Linked DNA regions of Rattus norvegicus. The protein of the gene in region 1 binds, or shares a complex with, the protein of each later gene. Links are inferred from orthologs where the notes say so. Each region holds a gene or a part of one and is shown in the gene's direction. Other genes may lie near its edges.

The links.
Region 2: Prpf8 (region 1) and Usp39 share a complex: the UniProt entries of both Homo sapiens proteins name them as parts of the U4/U6-U5 tri-snRNP complex. The link is inferred for Rattus norvegicus from reciprocal best matches to the Homo sapiens genes PRPF8 and USP39.

The regions. Positions count from the first base shown.
Region 1 is NC_086028.1:60,826,453-60,836,231, forward strand, and holds the start of Prpf8 (pre-mRNA-processing-splicing factor 8), read left to right. Parts: upstream 1-3,325; 5' UTR 3,326-3,395; intron 3,396-3,561; exon of another isoform or gene 3,562-3,586; 5' UTR 3,587-3,597; coding exon 3,598-3,697; intron 3,698-4,175; coding exon 4,176-4,344; intron 4,345-5,538; coding exon 5,539-5,703; intron 5,704-5,807; coding exon 5,808-6,026; intron 6,027-6,138; coding exon 6,139-6,351; intron 6,352-6,465; coding exon 6,466-6,591; intron 6,592-6,670; coding exon 6,671-6,776; intron 6,777-7,328; coding exon 7,329-7,519; intron 7,520-7,867; coding exon 7,868-7,987; intron 7,988-8,071; coding exon 8,072-8,261; intron 8,262-8,369; coding exon 8,370-8,489; intron 8,490-8,597; coding exon 8,598-8,732; intron 8,733-9,060; coding exon 9,061-9,190; intron 9,191-9,442; coding exon 9,443-9,639; intron 9,640-9,779. UniProt on the Homo sapiens protein: Plays a role in pre-mRNA splicing as core component of precatalytic, catalytic and postcatalytic spliceosomal complexes, both of the predominant U2-type spliceosome and the minor U12-type spliceosome.
Region 2 is NC_086022.1:105,938,021-105,947,699, reverse strand, and holds part of Usp39 (U4/U6.U5 tri-snRNP-associated protein 2), read left to right. Parts: intron 1-1,936; coding exon 1,937-2,014; intron 2,015-6,011; coding exon 6,012-6,079; intron 6,080-6,822; coding exon 6,823-7,011; intron 7,012-9,630; coding exon 9,631-9,679.

The DNA.
Region 1 (9,779 bases):
TGGAGATGGACCAGATCTTTAATCCCAGCTCTCAGGAGGCAGAGGCAGTAAATCTCTTCATTTCAATGACAGTCTGTTCTACATAGCAAGTTCCAGGACAGCCAGGACATTTCTCAAGACAACAAAATAAAAGATGGTTTAACATTTTTTTTTCTTTTTTTCGAAGCTGGGGACCGAACCCAGGGCCTTGTGCTTGCTAGGCAGGCGCTCTTCCACTGAGCTAAATCCCCAACCCAACAACTTTTAAAGAGATTGATTTGTTTTTATTTTATGTATTTGTGTGAGTGTCTGTGTTTGTGCACCACATGTAGACAGGTGGCTATAGAGGTCAGACGCGGGTGTTGGATTGTCTGGAGCTGGAGTTACAAGTGGTTATGAAATGCCCTGTACTTACCTAGGAAGCGCAAGGCCCTGGGTTCGGTCCCCAGCTCCGAGAAAAAAAAAAAAAAAAAAGAAATGCCCTGTAGGAGCTAGGAAGGAAAGCCAGGCCCTCTGCGAGATCAACAAGTGCTGTTAACCACCCTGCCATCTCTCGATCTTCAGAGAATGTGTTATGCATAATCATAGTATGACAGTCAGACTGGAAAACTGACGTTCCTATAATACTATTAATGAAACTACAGACTCTCCTGGAACATTACCAGAACATGGAGCAATGTCTACCACATAGTGACATTCACTGCAAGGACTTTACAATAGTGACCATGATAACATTGACGCGAAACTTGCTACCACTCCCGGGTGTGTCTGCCGGCTGTTTCTAAGGAGTAATATTAGTTTCTGTCCTAACTTTGTTCCTTCTTTTCCTCCCTCCCTCTGCTATTTCTTCTTACTCATCTTCTACTTTGCACTCCTCTCTCCCTCTCCTCTTTTAACAGAGTCGTGCTATGCAGCCCAGATGCCACCTCTTGCCTCAGCCTCCCCAGTGTTGGAAAATACTCTTTCCACAGGTTCATGCTAGGAGTCTGGAAACAGCTTGATGGTAGAGGGACCCTGGGTCAAGTCCTGGGCTCAATTCTTTTCTTTTCTTTCTTCTTTTTTTCGGAGCTGGGGACCGAACCCAGGGCCTTGAGCTTGCTAGGCAAGCGCTCTACCACTGACCTAAATCTCCAAACCCCTGGGCTCAATTCTTAACACTGAGAGAAAGATAAACACAAGAGTTCTATTGTAGCCTTTCGATTGTAACAGTTCTGGCCACCTGGAATTACTTTGTTTCTGATCTTTTACTCCGGTGGAATCCTTTTCATCCACCTTTTTTCATCAGACAGAATACAGACCCTCCTTGCAATACTTGGAAATGCTCTACTGCCAGTTACATCCTCAGTCCTGCTCCTATATTTTTTCCAACCTTCCTTCTAAGGCCTTTATAGGTTCATGATTTACACTGAACAGTTTTTGTCTATAGCATGTTATTATTGCCTGATAGAGGAAAGAGAAGAGAGAAAAGAAAGTCATTACCAATGAAATCCCCCAGAGACATTTCTAAGTTTTCTAGGTTATCTCTTCCCATCTTCCAAGGAAAAACTGTTATTTTATTTTAGCTTTGATACAGTCTCTCTATGTATCCTTGGCTGTACTGGAACTCTCTATGTAGATTAGGTTGGCCTCAAAAACACAGAGATCACCTGCCTCTGCCTCCCAAGTTCTGGGATTGCTATCCTGACTGGCAGGGTTTTTATTTTTATTCTTTATTTTATTGTTTGCTGTGCCAGGCATTAAATCTAGTACCTTACTTAGAATAAGCAAGCATTAACCTCAGAAACCCTGACCCTGAAGTCATTAGCATGCTCTGCTACAAGCTCTACAAGAATCTTTAGGGAGGTTGGGAATTTAGCTCAGTGGTAGAGCGCTTGCCTAGCAAGCACAAGGCCCTGGGTTTGGTCCTCAGCTCCGGGGGGGGGGGGGGGGGGGGAAGACAAGACAAAACGAATCTTTAGGGTTTGGGAGAGATAGCTTAGGGGTTAAAAAGATTTATTGATTTTGCAGGGGACCCCAATTCCTGGTACCCAAGTGGTGGATCATATCTACCTCCATTCCAGGGAATCTAATGTCTTCTTTTAATCTCTCTGGGTACCAGGCATGTTTGTGGTGCACAGGCATACTATGTGAAGGCAAAACATTAATCCATATATTTTTTCTTTTTTCTTTTTTTTTTTTTTGGAGCTGGGGACCGAACCCAGGGCCTTGCGTTTGCTAGGCAAGCGCTCTACCACTGAGCTAAATCCCCAACCCCAATCCATATTTTTTAAAATTAATTTTTAAAAACTATTATTTGGTACACTTTGTTTTGTTTTTGAGGTGTGGTCTTATGTAGCAAAGTTTGGTCTTAAACTCTACAAAGCCAAGGAAGAATTTGAATTTCTTTTTGAAAAAATATTATTTTATGTATATGGGTGTTTGGGTTGCATGTATGTGCACCATGTGTGTTCTGTATCTGCAGAGGGCAGTAGAGGGATCAGATCCTGTAGAATCAGAATTACAGGCAGTTGTGAGGCACCATGTGATTGCTGGGAACCGAACCAGGTTCTCCGGAAGAACAGTCAAGGCTCTTATTCATTCAGTCATTTTTCCAGGCCCAGACTTTTTTTTTTTTTCTTTTTCTTTTTTTCGGAGCTGGGGACCGAACCCAGGGCCTTGAGCTTGCTAGGCAAGAGCTCTACCACTGAGCTAAATCCCCAACCCCCAGGTCCAGACCTTGAATTTATGATCATCCTGTCTTTACAGCTCCCTGTGCCCCACCTCCACTACCCAGTGTCCCACGAGTGCTGAGATCCCTAAGGTCTATGCGTTGCCAGAAATCGAATGAACCAAGGGCCTCCTGTACACCGTACTCTGAGGTTCATTCCCAATCCAGATCATACATTCTTGCCAGACTTCCTTCTGCTTTGGACGTTCCAAGAGTTATTTGACTCTTTGGTACACAGTGAGCACTCTTAACCATAATATAACGAAGGAATAAAAGAACAAAGGATTCATTGAGTAGGAGCTAGTACTGCATATCAGCTCTGAATTCCTGAGAGTAAATACAAGAAAAATGTGCAACGTAGGCAAACTTATTAAAATTGTTATGGCTTTGGCTTTTGGGGAGCAATGTTAAAAGCCAATTAAATGTCAGTTCTATTACAGGCCTCCTAAACCAAACTGACTGGCGGAAGGCGGGGCGTGAGTCTACCCCGGCCCCACCCCTCGCAGTGAAATCCGCTTTTAGACCCGCCTCCCCGACGCGAATTTTACCGTCAATTGGGGTTTTCGCTAATCCATCGAAGCATCTCGCCTCCTATTGGGTGAGCTTCTGAACCTGGTTGCGCACTTCCTGGAGTTGGGAACGCGGAGCGGACGTCGTCTTTCCGCCATTGCTCTGCGAGCCCTGCCGCTACCTAAGTGAGGGACGACAGGTGGGTGGCGGGCGTCTGAGGCTGGGCTGCAAGGCTGTCGAGTGGGCCGAGCGGCCGAGAAGCTGCGCCAGGCCCGGGTCGCGAGCTCTCAGCCCGGCTAGGGTGCAGGCCAGGGCACGCCGGACGTGTTCCATCTTTCTCTTCTGGGCCCGGGCCTAGCTGATTCGTATTGGCTTGCCTCTCCATCCCAGATTCTCCCGGCATGGCCGGAGTGTTTCCTTACAGAGGGCCGGGTAACCCGGTGCCCGGCCCTCTAGCCCCGCTGCCGGATTACATGTCAGAGGAGAAGCTGCAGGAGAAAGGTGAGAGGCGAACGGGAACGGCGCGCGCGGGCTCGAACGTGCAGGCGGATTTCATTTCTTCCCTCTGTAGGCAGGTCATCAGGGGTGTACTTATTAGCAGTATTTACACGTTTTAAAATGTGTTTAAATCATTGAAGGTTTGGAAGCGTCTGTTATTTGCAGGAAGCTAACGTGCGTGCGTGCGTGCGTGTGTGTGTGTGTGTGTGTGCGCGTGTGTATTGTGTGTGTGTGTGATGCGTCAATGGTGACAAAAGCTGTTCCTTTATAGGGATTGCATTACTCTGAAGGGATTAGACAGCAACCCTTCCCTAAACATCAATAGCAAAAATGTCAGGTGTTTTGGGGTAGTAAAATGGCAGTATACTTATCAGTGAGTAGTTCTCCTCTTCACAGCATGCTGAGGGCTACCCCAGGGGCAAGAGTTGGGGGATAATTAGGGTGAATGTGGGCAGCCCTTTTAACTGAGATGCTTTTATAGCTCGAAAATGGCAGCAGTTGCAGGCCAAGCGCTATGCAGAGAAGCGGAAATTCGGGTTTGTGGATGCTCAGAAGGAAGACATGCCCCCAGAACATGTCAGGAAAATCATTCGAGACCATGGAGACATGACCAACAGGAAGTTCCGTCATGACAAAAGGGTCTATTTGGGGTAAGTAACATCCCAGGATAATTTCATATGGAGTTTGGCTTCTTTCCTTTTTCGGCCCCTTCATTGACAGTGTTGGATAGAGGGACTATGGTTTGGAACATGACTTTTTAACTGAGACACAGTTTCCTTGTGTGGGCCTTTCTGCCCTGGAATTAGCTCTGTTGACCATGCTGCTCTAGAATCCACAGGGATCCCCATGCCTCTGCCTCCTAAGAGCTGGGATTAAAGGCAGAGACCATCATGTCCAGCATGGAACATGGCTGTAGACTTTACATAGGATGTTTGTAGAAGTAAAGCCAGGACCACTGGGATTCGGTGATAATTGCCAAGTCTTCTACTTATTTTTGCTTTGTTTTGTCCTGCTGATGTCATTGTTAAATACTATTATTGTTGAACTGTTTGAAGCTCAAGATATGACACACTCTGGATGCTTTTTGGTCACTAGCATTTGGGAGTTTAGGATGTTTAATTCCTGGAGTCTCTCTTACTACTTCTGCAGCAGTAATTGGTAACCAGTGTGGTAGTGTTTGGACGTAATGTCGGCACTGGAGCTGCAGGAGCAGGACTGTCACAGGCTTGAGGCCAGCTCAAGCTGCTCCGTGGAATGCTCCATTAAAAACAACAACAAGAGCCAGATTGGTGGCCAGGCATTTAGTCTCTGTGCACGGGAGACAGAGACAGGAGAATGAATCTTCTGTTCTAGACTGAGTTTCAGGCCAGCTAGGGCTATATAGTAAGACCCTGTCTCAGACAACAACAAACATCATCATCATCATCATCATCATCATTATTATTATTGAAACTTGCTTTTGGTCCTCAATGGATAGACCTTTCCTTTTAGGAGTTTAAGTTTAGTGGCATGGTAAATGAGAGACAAATGGTCACTGTGTAGAGCCATGAATGTGCTGGTATTTACAGGAAGGGCAGAAGGAAGTTGCTTTCAAAGGGACAGGTGTTGGTTTATACAGGCTGATTCCCACTATTGTGGAACTAAGACATTTAAAAGGGAGAGTGGTGTTAGATGGAGATGAGGAGGCCATACTGGAAGTCATGTAGGATCTGCGTCCTAATTTGGGGCTTTGGAATATAAGGCAGCATTTTGTATGGAACACGTGATAACTTTATGGCTTGTCAGCAAGGGACAAATGATGAACACTTAGTTGTTTCTAATTGTTTCTCCTCCTTGTGTTGCAGAGCTCTCAAGTACATGCCTCACGCAGTTCTCAAGCTCCTAGAGAACATGCCCATGCCTTGGGAGCAGATCCGGGATGTGCCTGTGCTGTACCACATCACTGGAGCCATTTCCTTCGTTAACGAGATTCCCTGGGTTATTGAGCCAGTTTACATCTCCCAGTGGGGGTGAGAAGGGCTGAAGTGTGGGGGGAGGTGGCATCTGGTGGGGTGTTGTGGGGGCGGAAGTATTGGCAGTTGAGATCAGTGGGCATGATGCTCTTGCCTTATAGGTCAATGTGGATCATGATGCGTAGAGAAAAAAGAGACAGGAGGCATTTCAAGAGGATGCGTTTTCCCCCTTTTGATGATGAGGAGCCGCCCCTGGATTATGCTGACAACATCTTAGATGTCGAGCCACTGGAAGCCATTCAGCTAGAGCTGGACCCTGAGGAGGATGCCCCTGTGTTGGACTGGTTCTATGACCACCAGCCATTGAGAGATAGTAGGAAGTGAGTGGAACTAATTTCTGTGAGAGTTCTGGAAACAGGAGCTGTGGGAAGGCCGTAGGTAAGAGGCTTGGCTCAATGCCTACCTGATGTGGGCCCTCCATCTTTTCCCTAGGTATGTTAATGGTTCCACCTACCAACGCTGGCAGTTCACATTGCCTATGATGTCCACTCTCTACCGACTGGCCAACCAGCTTCTGACTGACTTGGTAGATGACAACTACTTTTATCTCTTTGATCTAAAGGCCTTCTTTACCTCTAAGGCACTCAACATGGCCATTCCTGGGGGACCCAAATTTGAACCTCTTGTTCGAGACATCAACCTACAGTAAGTTGAGAAAGTATCAATTTTTAGGTACCTCGTGTGTGTTAAAATTTAAAGTTTACCTTAAGATCCTGTATAACAATGGAACTAGACTACTCACTTGACTTTGTGTTGTAGGGATGAAGACTGGAATGAATTCAATGATATTAACAAGATCATCATCCGTCAGCCTATTCGTACTGAGTACAAGATTGCTTTTCCGTACCTCTATAACAACCTCCCACACCATGTCCACCTGACCTGGTAAGATGCTCAGAACACAGCAGTTAGAAAGGGGAAGGCCAGAACACAAGAACAAGTTGGCTGACTCTTTTTGTTATAGGTACCACACTCCTAACGTTGTGTTCATCAAGACTGAGGATCCTGATCTGCCAGCTTTCTACTTTGATCCTCTGATTAACCCAATCTCCCATAGACACTCAGTCAAGGTAAGAGGAAATCACATGCTCTGGAGGGTAGCGAGGAATGAGAGTCTTGGAGATTGAGCTTGGGGTCTTATCCATGCTAGGCAAGTTTTCTGCTACTCAGCAGCCTATGCCCCACTTTTTTCTTTTTGGACATGTAGTGTAGGTTAGCCTAAATTTACTGTGTAGTGTAGGTTAGCCTAAATCATTTACTGTGTAGTTTCAGGTTGGTCTTGCTCATTCAGTCTTTCTGTCTTAGCTTCCTTCTACATACTGGGGTTTCAGGGCTCCTTCCTCAAGCTCAGGAGTTTTGACAGGAACTGATTGCAGTGGGTACTTCTGTAGTATGGTGCTGGAGCTCCTTTGGGAGGCTTTGGGTGGTAAGCAGGTGGGTTGACTTCCTGCTTGGCTCTCGTCTCTACTCCCTTGGCTCCTTTGTCTAGCTCTTTAGGCTTCTTTTACAGGCATCCATTTCATGGCATGTGTAGACATTATGCTTGATCCCGAGAGTTTTCTGCTCATCTCAGCTTTGCGCTCAGTGAGTGGGAAATGAACCCTTGAGGACTTCTTTTTCAGAGCCAAGAGCCACTACCTGATGATGATGAGGAGTTTGAGCTCCCAGAGTTTGTGGAGCCCTTCCTGAAGGATACACCTCTCTATACAGACAATACAGCCAATGGCATCGCACTGCTCTGGGCACCACGGCCCTTCAACCTACGCTCTGGTCGTACCCGCCGGGCCCTCGACATTCCCCTTGTCAAGAACTGGTGAGGTTTCTCCTTAAGGGGTAGTAGATGTACAGTACAGGAGAAAAGGCTGTGTGGTGTACAGTATAGGAGAGAGGCTGGGTGGTGTACAGTATAGGAGAGAGGCTGGGTGGTGTACAGTATAGGAGAGAGGCCGGGTGGTGTACAGTATAGGAGAGAGGCTGGGTGGTGTACAGTATAGGAGAGAGGCTGGGTGGTGTACAGTATAGGAGAGAGGCCGGGTGGTGTACAGTATAGGAGAGAGGCTGGGTGGTGTGCAGTATAAGAGGAAAGGCTGGATAAGTATGCAGCCTTTGCAGAGTGTCTGGAGGATGGGTGGGCAAGGCTCTGATGGGCTTATTTAACCAGGTATCGGGAGCACTGTCCTGCTGGGCAACCTGTGAAAGTTCGAGTCTCCTATCAGAAGCTGCTTAAGTATTATGTGCTGAATGCCCTCAAACATCGGCCTCCCAAAGCGCAGAAGAAGAGGTAAGGTGCTGAAGGCCCCTGCTACACCTTGTGTTCCAAAAATGTCAGTATGTCACTTTAAGTTTCTTCTTTATTTTTACCCAGGTATCTGTTTCGCTCTTTCAAAGCTACCAAATTCTTTCAGTCTACCAAGCTGGACTGGGTGGAGGTCGGGCTGCAGGTTTGCCGCCAGGGCTACAACATGCTTAACCTTCTCATTCACCGTAAGAACCTCAACTATCTGCATTTGGACTATAACTTCAACCTGAAGCCTGTCAAGACGCTCACCACCAAGGTGCCTGTCTGGGACCTCATGGCTCTGACGTGCTTAAGATGGATGGCACTGTGGGATACCTTCTGTGGCCACTCTCATTAATATTCCTTGTGTTCTTGGACTTTTCAGGAAAGAAAAAAATCTCGCTTTGGGAATGCTTTCCATCTGTGTCGGGAAGTACTGCGTTTGACTAAGCTGGTTGTGGATAGTCATGTGCAGTATCGCTTGGGCAATGTAGATGCCTTCCAGGTGAGGCCATGTTGCCTGGACCCCTGCCTGGATGGAGAGATGGGGCGAAGCCTGTGCTGGCTCTGGAGCTGGCTCCGGCTCTAAGGCTAACGGGTGACTTTATTGCAGCTGGCAGATGGATTGCAGTATATATTTGCCCACGTGGGACAGTTGACAGGCATGTATCGATACAAATATAAGCTGATGCGGCAGATCCGCATGTGCAAGGACTTGAAACATCTCATCTATTACCGCTTCAACACGGTGAGACCCTGCCCTCAGTGCCAGCCTTCACATACTCTTGCTTTTTCTTTGCAGTTAGAGCTCTTTCCTAGGATCTCCTTGGAGAGACTCTTGAATATGTCATTACTATACTCCATGAATGAATCTTAGCACTTCACTTACCGCTGAATCCATGCAGGAGCCTCCCTATCTGCGTCCCTATTCTAGACCGGGAGGACTCAGATAGCGTTTACCCTATCTCCATGGCAACCTGATACATGTTCTGCCTTCTTCTATCCAGTTTCCTTCCTGTCATTTTTCTTTTTAAAGGAATTGTCCATTTATGTTCTTGGTTTCTACTTGACTGTAGGGTCCTGTGGGGAAAGGCCCTGGCTGTGGTTTCTGGGCTGCTGGCTGGCGGGTCTGGCTATTTTTTATGCGTGGAATTACCCCTTTGCTAGAACGATGGCTAGGCAACCTTCTGGCCCGACAGTTTGAAGGTAAGTGGTTTTCTTTATCCATGCTTGTGTGCCTCAAGTTCTGTGTCTTTGTGTTTGTCATCGATCCTGAGTCTGTTTTAAATGAGTCTGTCCTACTATTCTGGCTCTTGGGATGCTCGCTAGGACTTTGAGCCATCATGTGTTTGTATGTTTGTGACTATCTGAGGTGGCTTGTCTTTTTGTATGTGTGGATCATATGGGAACGTGCTACTATTTATTGATTTCATCTCTGGGCTGTCCCTTCACTTCTAGGCCGTCACTCAAAGGGGGTGGCAAAGACAGTAACAAAGCAACGAGTAGAGTCCCATTTTGACCTTGAGCTTAGGGCAGCTGTGATGCATGATATTCTGGACATGATGCCTGAAGGCATCAAACAGAACAAGGCCCGAACAATTCTGCAGCACCTCAGTGAGGCCTGGCGCTGCTGGAAGGCCAACATTCCATGGAAGGTAGGCTTTCCTCCATCTCCATTTCCTTTCATCCTTCTGATGTTAGGATTGCCACATCCTCAGAGGGCTGTTCACCTTCTGTTATCCCCTACCCTCCTTGAGACAGTCTCACTGTGTTGTCCTGGCTGACCTGTAAGTCT
Region 2 (9,679 bases), on another chromosome or scaffold:
TCCTCCTTCTTTTGTTTTTTTGTACAAAGACAGGGTCTCACTATGCAGCCTTGGCTGTCCTGGATCTTACTGTGTAGGCCAGACATGCCTGGAACTCACAGAGCCACCAGCCTCTGCATCCTATGTGCTGGAATAAAAGCATGTGCCACCATGCTTGTCTCTCAGAGTCTCGGGAGGTCAAGGAAAGGAGCACTAGGGAATGACAAGAAGATAAGGAGCGGCTGATACTCTTGGGGTTTAGGATTTTAGGATAACGGAGAGAATGGTTCACTTGGGAATGGACAGTATATGTTGATCAGAACCCCATGATTTATTCCCAGTTGAGCAGAAGTTACTAAGCCTTAGCACAGTGTTTCACAGTTTGCAACAAGGCCAGTAACACCTTACACTTCTGAACGGGGACAACTACCTCCTGTTCTAGAACCATCAGATTCCAACATCTAGATTCATAAGTCATTTTGTTTCTGGACCAACTCTGAGGTTCTTTTGATTTTTTTTTTTTTTTTCTTTTTTTCAGAGCTGGGGACCGAACCCAGGGCCTTGCGCTTGCTAGGCAAGCACTCTACCACTAAGCTAAATCCCCAACCCCTCTTTTGATTTTTAAGATTTGTTTTATTTTTAAGTGTGTGTATAGGCAGGTGGGTATGTGCATGTGTGTGCATAGTTAAATGTGTGTATGGGCAGATGTGCATGTGTGTGCAGGTGTTCTTGGATTCTAGAAGAAGGTGTTGCATCCCCTGTAGCTAGGGTCACAGGCAGTGGTAGGCAGTCCACTGCGGATGCTGGGAACTGAACTCAGGTCCTCTGTGCAACCAGGGACTCTTTCGTTTTTTATGTCAAGGCTGCAACAAGATACAATATTTTTGTAGAGAAATCTATTTTTTGTGCCATGGCTGGTTGTATCTATCAGTCTTCCCTTTAGCTTTCAACAGCTTTGCAAAGTTAAAGCTTAATTGGTTAGAGAATTGCAGAAAAATCTTAACTCTAAGAATAAACTTATGCTTGCCTAGTTTCTTCTGTCATAGCATAGTTTGTGTTGTCAGTGAAGCACAGTTTTCTCAAGTGTCTGAGACATGGGTATTGTCAGTTGCTTAGATGTATGTGGTGTCTATGGAGTAGTTTTTGCTATGGTTGTAATTAAAGGGTGGGGTGTGTGGAGGAAAGTGATTTATAGAGTTGTCAGGCCTTTGGAATCAGGTAGATGAAGTTAAAGAAGATCATACAGACTTAGAGATTTCAACTAGATGAGCAGAGAGGAAGTAAATGGAGAGAGACATTAGGTGAGAAATACTTGAGAGGGAGGCAGTTAGTCTCACCGTAGGCACTCTTATCAAGGGCCAGGAATGCTGCTTGTTCCCAGCATCCCTTGTTCTACAGTAGATGCCTTTAAAAAGAAAAGATTTATTTATTCTATATGAGTACACTGTAGCTGTCTGCAGACACACCAGAAGACGGCACCAGATCTCATTACAGATGGATATGAGCCACCATGTGGTTGCTGGGACTTGAACTCAGGACCTCTGGAAGAGCAGTCAGTGCTCTTAACCACTGAGCCATCTCTCCAGCCCTAGATGCCTTTTTTAATACTAGCACCAGAAGTCACCTTCCTGAGACATGAGAGTCTTTATAAGGTAGGGAAAGGAGGAAGTCAGAGCCACTTTGAAGAAGTGGATGTTACAAGGTCTTCATTCATTGTTATCACAGGGTGATGAGATACATTTGGATGATGACAGGGTCACCAAAGTACCTTGAGAGAAAGAGAAGGCTGAAGAGTAAGCTTGACCTTGAGGAGTGTGGGTGTTTGTGGTCAGGTAGAGGAGGATGCACGGAGTATGGGTATGTGACAAGTAGCCGGAGAGGATGAGGAGGCCAGCCAGTGCATGTTGGTTCCTTTCCTGCCTCTGAGCTTCAGCGTGTTCTTTTCCTTTTTTCCCAGGGGATGGAGTTGACTTCCTGTCTTGGTTTCTGAATGCTCTGCACTCAGCTCTGGGAGGCACCAAGAAGAAGAAAAAGAGTAAGTCATGATGCTTGTCAAAAGAGCCCTATTTTCTTTCTTTCTTTTTTTTCTCACTAAAAAACTTTTTATAACTTCTGTCCTTTTCATTTGTGTTTGTTTGTTTGTTTTTCTGTGACAGGGTTTCTTTATGTGGCCTTGGCTGTCCTAGAACTCATTCTGTAGACCAGGCTGGCCTGGAGATCCACCTGCCTCTGCCTCCTGAGTGCTGGCATTAAGGGTATGCACCACCGCCCAGCCCACTTCTCATTCTTTCCTTTGGGGTGGGAACAAGTGGGGGTTAGCGTGTGTTATCTACCTTCCTCATCGGAGACAAAGTCTTGCCCGAGCCAGCTGGAGCTATCCTGGAACTCAGGTTCTTCCTGTCTTAGTTTCTTCCATGCTCAAATGACTTTGAACTCCTGATCCTTCTGCTTCTGCCTCCCAAATGTTGGGATTACAATTAGGCTGCACTAGGCTTAATAGACCTTGCTCTGTGTTGTGTTAGAGTATGGTTATATTCTCAGCTTATTTTTCCCTAGTTTTTGTTGTTTTATCTTTTTCTTTCTTTCTTTCTTTCTTTTTTAATCTTTGAAATACAGTCTTTTTCTTTTCTTTTGAGATGCTGTATGAATTTATTAGTCAGTGAATTTTGACACTGTGGAAAAGCATAAAAGTGCTCAGGACACCAGCATAGCATAGAGGTAGGAGAAGAGTTAGGCTCAGTCCTAACCCCAGGGAGTCTAGGGTCTAGAACGGGCAAGCATGCATGGGTTAGAGTGGAGGTGAGAGAGGGCAAGGGGAGGCTGCGGGGCTTGTTTGTCCATCTCTTCAGGGATGCCCCTTCTTAAAGTGGAAGTCAGATGTTCTGCTTTCTAGACTCCCACCCTGCCCGTCAGGTGCCTGTGTCTTCTCATCCCCTCCCTCCTCCTCTCCCTCATCCCTTTCTTCCCCCTCCTCTTCCTCTTCCTCCTCTTCCTCCTCCCATGTCTCTGCCTCTTCTTCCTTCTTGTTCCTCCTCCCGCTCTCTCACTTCTCGGCCTCTCCACTTTCAGCTTCCCCTGCTTCCCCTTCTCCTCCTTCCTGCTCCTCACTATCTCCCCTCCTCTGGCCCTCTGACTACTCCATCTTGTTTTTAGTCTTCAAACACAAGACATTCCTCCTCAAGACCTTTGCCCTGCCAGTGCCTACTTCCTTAAAGTCTTACAACATGCATTTTGTACTCTGGCAAACTGCTGCTGACATGTAACCTCCTCCAAGAGGCATCCAGGACTGCTACACCCAACAGGGCCCTGTTTTGATCTTGGTGCCCATTCTTAAGCATACACAGCTCTTCTCAGTTTACCACAGGGCTTCAGTTGTCCAAGTAACTTTCATGGACATGAATCATTTGCTTGATTCCAGTGAAATAGAGTCTTGCTGCGTATCCCAGATGGGCTTGGAATTTATGATCCTCCTGACCCAGCCTCCCAAATACTGAGATTACAGATATACCCCACCGCACCTAGCCGTAGCGGTATTTCAAGCACAAATGCCTGGAAGATGCTGTGTTAAGTGAAGTAAGCCAGACAGAAGCCATGACTGTGCTATCACTCCAGAAGTGACCTTCCAGCAGCTCAGAGTAGAGCCCTGGTTGCCTGAGGCCTGAGACTGGATGGACTCAGATAGAAGGATAAGCAGGAAGAGCAGCTCTCAACGTCTCTGACACAGTAGAGTAGCAGTGGTTGACAGCACTGACTGTATATGTTGGTGTAGCAGATAGAGAGGATTTTGAATGTTTTGAGCACAAGGAAGTGATGAATGTTCAGAGATGGATATACCAGTTAGTCTCAGCTTGTCCTCATTGCACTCTGTATGCACTTATTGAAATGGCACTCTGTTTCATTAATAGTGTTGGCTATCAATTAAAGTCCCTCACCTGCCCAGATTAAAGTTTTATTTACTCAGTGCATGAGTTTATGTATTCCACATGTGTAGTACAAGAGCCCTTAGAGGTCAGGGTGTCACAAGCCCCAGGGAAGCTCATTTTGTGGTGGCGGCAGTGGCGGCAGCAGTATGAGGGATCTATGGGCATGTACACCTGCATGCCAGAATCCCATGGTTGTGAGTCACCATGTGGGTGCTGGGAATTGAACTCATGACCTCTAGAAGAGCATCAGTGCTCTTGCTGAGCCATCTCTCCAGCCCCCTTGTTTTTGTTTTTTTGAAACAGTGTTTCAGTGTAGTTCTGGAACTGGCTCTGAACACCAGGCTGGCCTTGAACTCACGCAGATCACCTACCTCTGCCTCCCAAGTGCTGAGATTGAAGACAAGTACCACCACCCATTGACTAAAACATTTTTTAACAGGTCAGAACTGGATATAATTATGCCCTAGGAATCTTGACCCATTTTAAAATGAAGACTTGGGTCATTATGTTCTAGTCCTTAGGTTCCTGCCAGCACTACATAGAGCTGGTGAAGAATGGAGCTGAATGGCAGAACAGACCCTGGCTCTGTACTTGGAGCCATAAAGCTGGCCTCTTAGAGTCTCACACTGCAAGTCCCTCTGACTTAGCCTCTCTTGGTTTAGTGGTCAGTTGATGTTTATTTTGAACGCCAGCTGTAGCTTGTGGCTTACAGACTTCAGATCCAGCGAGGTGTTTGGAGACATCATGCACTTTAGTTTTCTTCCTTTTTGTTTCATTGATTGATTGTGTGTGTATGTGTGTGTGTTTTGAGATAGGGTCTTGCCATGTTGCCTAGGCTGCCTCACATTCCCAGTCTTCCTGTTTGCACTGCCTGAGAATAGGCTTGTCCCACCCAGCTCTCTTGTCCTCTGTGTTCTGACGGCTTTGCTGGTGAAGGAGCGTAGGTGAAGGAGTGTAGTGTTTTGCTCTAGAATGCTCTGCCCCATCTATGGGGTACACTCAACCATGCTCATTCTCTCAGGCCTCCAACTTGTGTCTCACTGGGATTCTAGGAGCCCGTGAGCTTTGCAGTTTTCCTTGGGTTTTTGTTTACTGTGTTGTGTTGGTTATTTTTCTCATGTACAATGTGGGTTCTGCATTGCCTCCCTTCGAAGGTACTGTGTGATTATGAGAAATGTCTTGGTTGAACTGCTTTTCACCGTGTGTGTGCGCATGTGTGCGCGTGTGTTTGTGCACGAGTGTGCTGTGGAGGTTCAGGACTGGTATTAGGTGAAGACTCTTTACCCGACTTTGTTTAGCATGCAGTGCTGGGGATCAAACCCAGGTCTTCGTGTGTGGTGGGAAGCTCCATATTGATCAGACCATCTCCCTCTGCTTATTTTTTTGTAGTTTAGTTTCTTGTTTTGAGGCAGGGTCTCATGTAATAGAAGTTGCCTTTGAACTATTGATCTTCCTGCTTCCACCTCCCAAGTGATGGGATTACAGGTGTGAGCCACCATACCCAGTTCTATGCCCAGTTTTAACTGATAGTTTTAAAAATTATTAAGTATTTCATATGCATGAATAATTTGCCTGCTTTTTGCCTTGTGTTTCATGTGTGTGCCTAGTGCTCTCAGAGGTCAAAAGATGGTATTGGAGCCCCTGGAACTAGAGTTATGGGTGATTGTGGGCCATTGTGTGGGTGCTGGGAATCAAACCTGGGTTCTCTCTGTAAGAGCAACAAGTGCTCTAAGCTTCTGTGCCAGCTCTTCAGCACTCATGCTCACTACCACTGTCCTTCTGTCTGTCTGTCTGTGTTCCTTTCCCTCACTTCTCCCTCCACCCCTCCCTCAATCCCTTCCTCGATATGCATGTGTAAATCGCTCATTCATTTCAAATGAGCCAGCCCACTGTTGAAAGAGTGTCTATCCTGTGGAAGAGCTACAGTGTAATTAGATAATTATACATCACCTTGATGATAGCTGGTATGAAGGGAGGCTCCTTGCTTAGAGAGAGCTTGATTCTTACACCAGGAGGTTCTTGTTTGTACCTGAAATGAATTTAGAAGTTGGGGGTGTGTGCCTGTTGTGCTTTCTGGCCTCACACACTTTGTATTCTTTACTTGTACAGCTATTGTGAATGATGTTTTCCAGGGATCAATGAGAATTTTCACCAAAAAGCTTCCTCATCCTGATCTGGTGAGTGTCCAGAACAAGAGTTTTAGCTTGCTATATGCTACCTCAGGGGCGTGGGAAAGCACAGGAGCACAGAGAGTGGACAGAGTGTATACCATGAAGAAGTTCCACAAAACACTCACAGCCCTGGCCTTATTGTGGTAATGTGCTGTGGCCTCAGAGTTTGTGGTTGTGTTGGCTAAAGTGGTCTGACCACTAAGTGTTACTGGTATGTTTTCCAGAAGGCTCAGCCAAGGTTCTTCTGTAATCTGAGAACTTTTCAAATGGTCTGGTATATAAATAAAACCAGAAGGTGAATAGCAATTTTTTCTTTAAAAGTTATAAATAAATTAATGGGCGTGACTGTGTCGTTTCTAAACACATATGTCACTATACTTGGTTCTAATTAATCCCTCTTTTGATGTCCCCTGTTCCCAGTGCCCTCTTCCTGGAAGGTTTCTCCACAAATAGTTCCTCTTTTTGCTTCATGTCACAAATACTCAATCACCCTCCTCCTGTTCAGTGATCCCTTTCCAGTTTCATGACCACACATGCATGCGTGGGCCACCAGTTTCTGAATGAGCATTGTCAGTGGTAGTTTCGAATACAGCTCCTTGGGCTCCAGACTAGAGAAGGTGTGAGTACACTTCCACACAGGAGCGCCATGTCCTCTGTGGGTTAGCTCCGTGATCTCTTCCCACACACTGAGGGTTAGCTCCATGCTCACTCTCCTGTCCTCTCTCATCCTCTCATCTTATCCTTTCCAGCCAGCGGAAGAGAAAGAGCAGCTGCTCCATAATGAGGAGTACCAAGAGACAATGGTGGAGTCCACGTTCATGTACCTGACGCTCGACCTTCCCACTGCTCCACTCTATAAGGACGAGAAGGAGCAGCTCATTATCCCGCAAGTGCCACTCTTCAACATCCTGGCCAAGTTCAACGGCATCACGGAGAAGGTAACTGAGTCGCTTTGTTTCTAACTTTCATCCTTTCGCAGTGTTAACAGCAGGGCCTTGGAAGAAGGCAAGCACTCCACAGACAGGGTACTCCCAGCCGCCTTGTCTTTTCATATTTCAGAGTCAGCACATACATTTCATATACTTTCTCTAAGTGCGTTGTCTTTTTCAAGCCTCCCAGCTTCTGGTGTTTAGGGCTCTCTCTCTTTCTTTCTTTCTCTCTCTCTCTCTCTTTCTTTCTTTCTTTCTTTCTTTCTTTCTTTCTTTCTTTCTTTCTTTCTTTCCTTCTTTCCTTCTTTCCTTCTTTCCTTCTTTCCTTCTTTCTTTCACTCATTCAAGATTTTTATTTATTTATTACATATTAGTACACTGTGGCTGTCTTCAGAGACACCAGAAGAGGGCATCAGATTTCATTACAGCTGGTTGTGAGTCACCACGTGGTTGCTGGGAATTGAACTCAGGACCTCTGGAAGAGCAGTTGGTGTAGAGCTCCTTACATGGTTCATGCCTGCTTTTGAGTACTGTAGAGAACGGTAGAAATTTAGACGTTTGGAAACAGTAAATACAGAGATCTCACCTTTTAAAACTTACTATTTTTATTCTGTTTTGTTTTTGAGTTAGGACTTATATAGCCAGGTTAGCCTAGAACTTGCTGTAGAATGAACCTTGGACTCCTGACTCGCCTTCCAACACTCAAGTGCTGGCTTACAAGTGTAGGCCACCATTTCCAGTGCTGACAATTGTTTTTAATATGTCTATTTGCTCTTGATTTTTGTTAATAATATGGGTGCATACTCATAAGGAACAAATTGTTGGTAATATTGGAAATGATGACCCTGGTCTGTTGGGAAGATGTCTCCTGAGGCAGGGTGGGGTGGGGACCCTGTTCCCTCGCCACTCTTTTGCAGTAGTGTTTTCTTCTTCTGAGCTGGAGGGGCAGTGTTGGCCACGTACCCTTATTTTTCTCGACAAGTTATTCCGTTTTATTTTACTAACATTTTAGAGGAAGCACCAAAGCCCTTCCTTTGTAAAGGTTACTAGATGACCTTCTAATGACTGCTGTTTGGAAAGGAAGCAGGTCTGTAGTCCCTCACTTAGAGAGTCAGAGTCTCTCGTTTGCTGTTAGTAAGGCCATTGTCCGATGGTTTTGAAGAAGGCACATTCTGATTGTTAACCAGCATTTTCTCAAGTGTTAGTGAGACGGCCCAGCAGGTAAAAGCACTTAGGACGTAAGCCTAGAGACCCTAGATCAGTGCATGCAGCCCATAGTGGGAGGGAAGCACGGACTCCGGGAAATTGTCCTCTGCCTTCCAGATGCGAATTGTAGCACATGCACACTCACATTCATCCAACATCCCCCCCCCTTTCTCTTTCTCTCTCATGCACACACTCAAGTGTACACACACACATGTAATAAATTGAAAGTATTTTCTATTTTCTTGGGCAACTTGTGGATTTCAAGTCTGTTTTCATCCTCAGAACTTGGTCAGTTCAGAGGGAAGCCTTGTTTGGTTGTTTCTTTCTGCTTATGATTACTCTTTTACTCCTATTTCTTAACTAAATGTGAACTTTTTTTTTTTTTTTTTTTTTTTTTTTTTTTTTTTGCCATGCTAAGGTTTGGCCTCATGTATGCTAGGTAAGTGCTCTACTGGGCTATATCCCCAGACAAGGATAAAAAATTTGTATTAAGAAACAACTATTTGGGTTGGGGATTTAGCTCAGTGGTAGAGCGCTTGCCTAGGAAGTGCAAGGCCCTGGGTTTGGTCCCCAGCTCCGAAAAAAGAACCAAAAAAAAAAAAAAAAGAAACAACTATTCACAGTACTAGAAAGATGGCTCTGGGATTGAGAGTATTGTTCTTGTGAGAACCTAGGTTCAATTTCCAACTCCCACATGGTGCTTTATGACCATCTGTATGTAGCTCCAGTTCTGGGGAGTTGGTGCCTTCTGGTGTCTGTGGGCACACATGGTTCACAGACAGGCAACACATAAAAGAAAAGAAAAGCACCTCAGTTCACCAGCTTTACACCCCGTGGCCTAGACAGATGCCCTGGCCCTTCCCTTTCTCCTCGGGCCATGCAGAGTGAGCTTACAGGACATGTGACCCACTAGACTGCTTACAAAGCCAGAAGATTTTTTTCTCAGATGCGCACTTTGGTTTGAGATACATCAGTGCTTCCTATATGCTGAGCACAGGGTTTTCTTATACCCCAGCACAGGTCTTTAACGCAGGAGTGGTGTAAGAAAAGTCGACGACCACGTCCTTTGGAATACTGAGGGTGCTTCACTGCTGCTAAGTCAAGACATTTTTCTCTGTTTTGAGTAAAGTAAGATCTGTGTGGTGGAAATTCAGCTTTTAACTGATGTTTAATTAGCTAGTTAGTTGTGTTTGCCCACACAGCAGTGTGATCATACCCTGGCTGACACGGCCCGTTGTCAAGGTCTCTTACTTAATGTTTGCCACACTGCTGATTTTAGCCTCTTTTGTGATTTCTGAGACTGGGTATCTTTTGAAGTCTAGGTGTGATACAGAGTTATGTTTAAAAACCAGAACAAAGGTCAGGCGGTCATTCTGGTACCTCCTGAGTGCTGGCACTGATGACATCAAATTGTCTTTGTAGGAATACAAGACTTATAAGGAGAACTTCCTGAAGCGCTTCCAGCTCACCA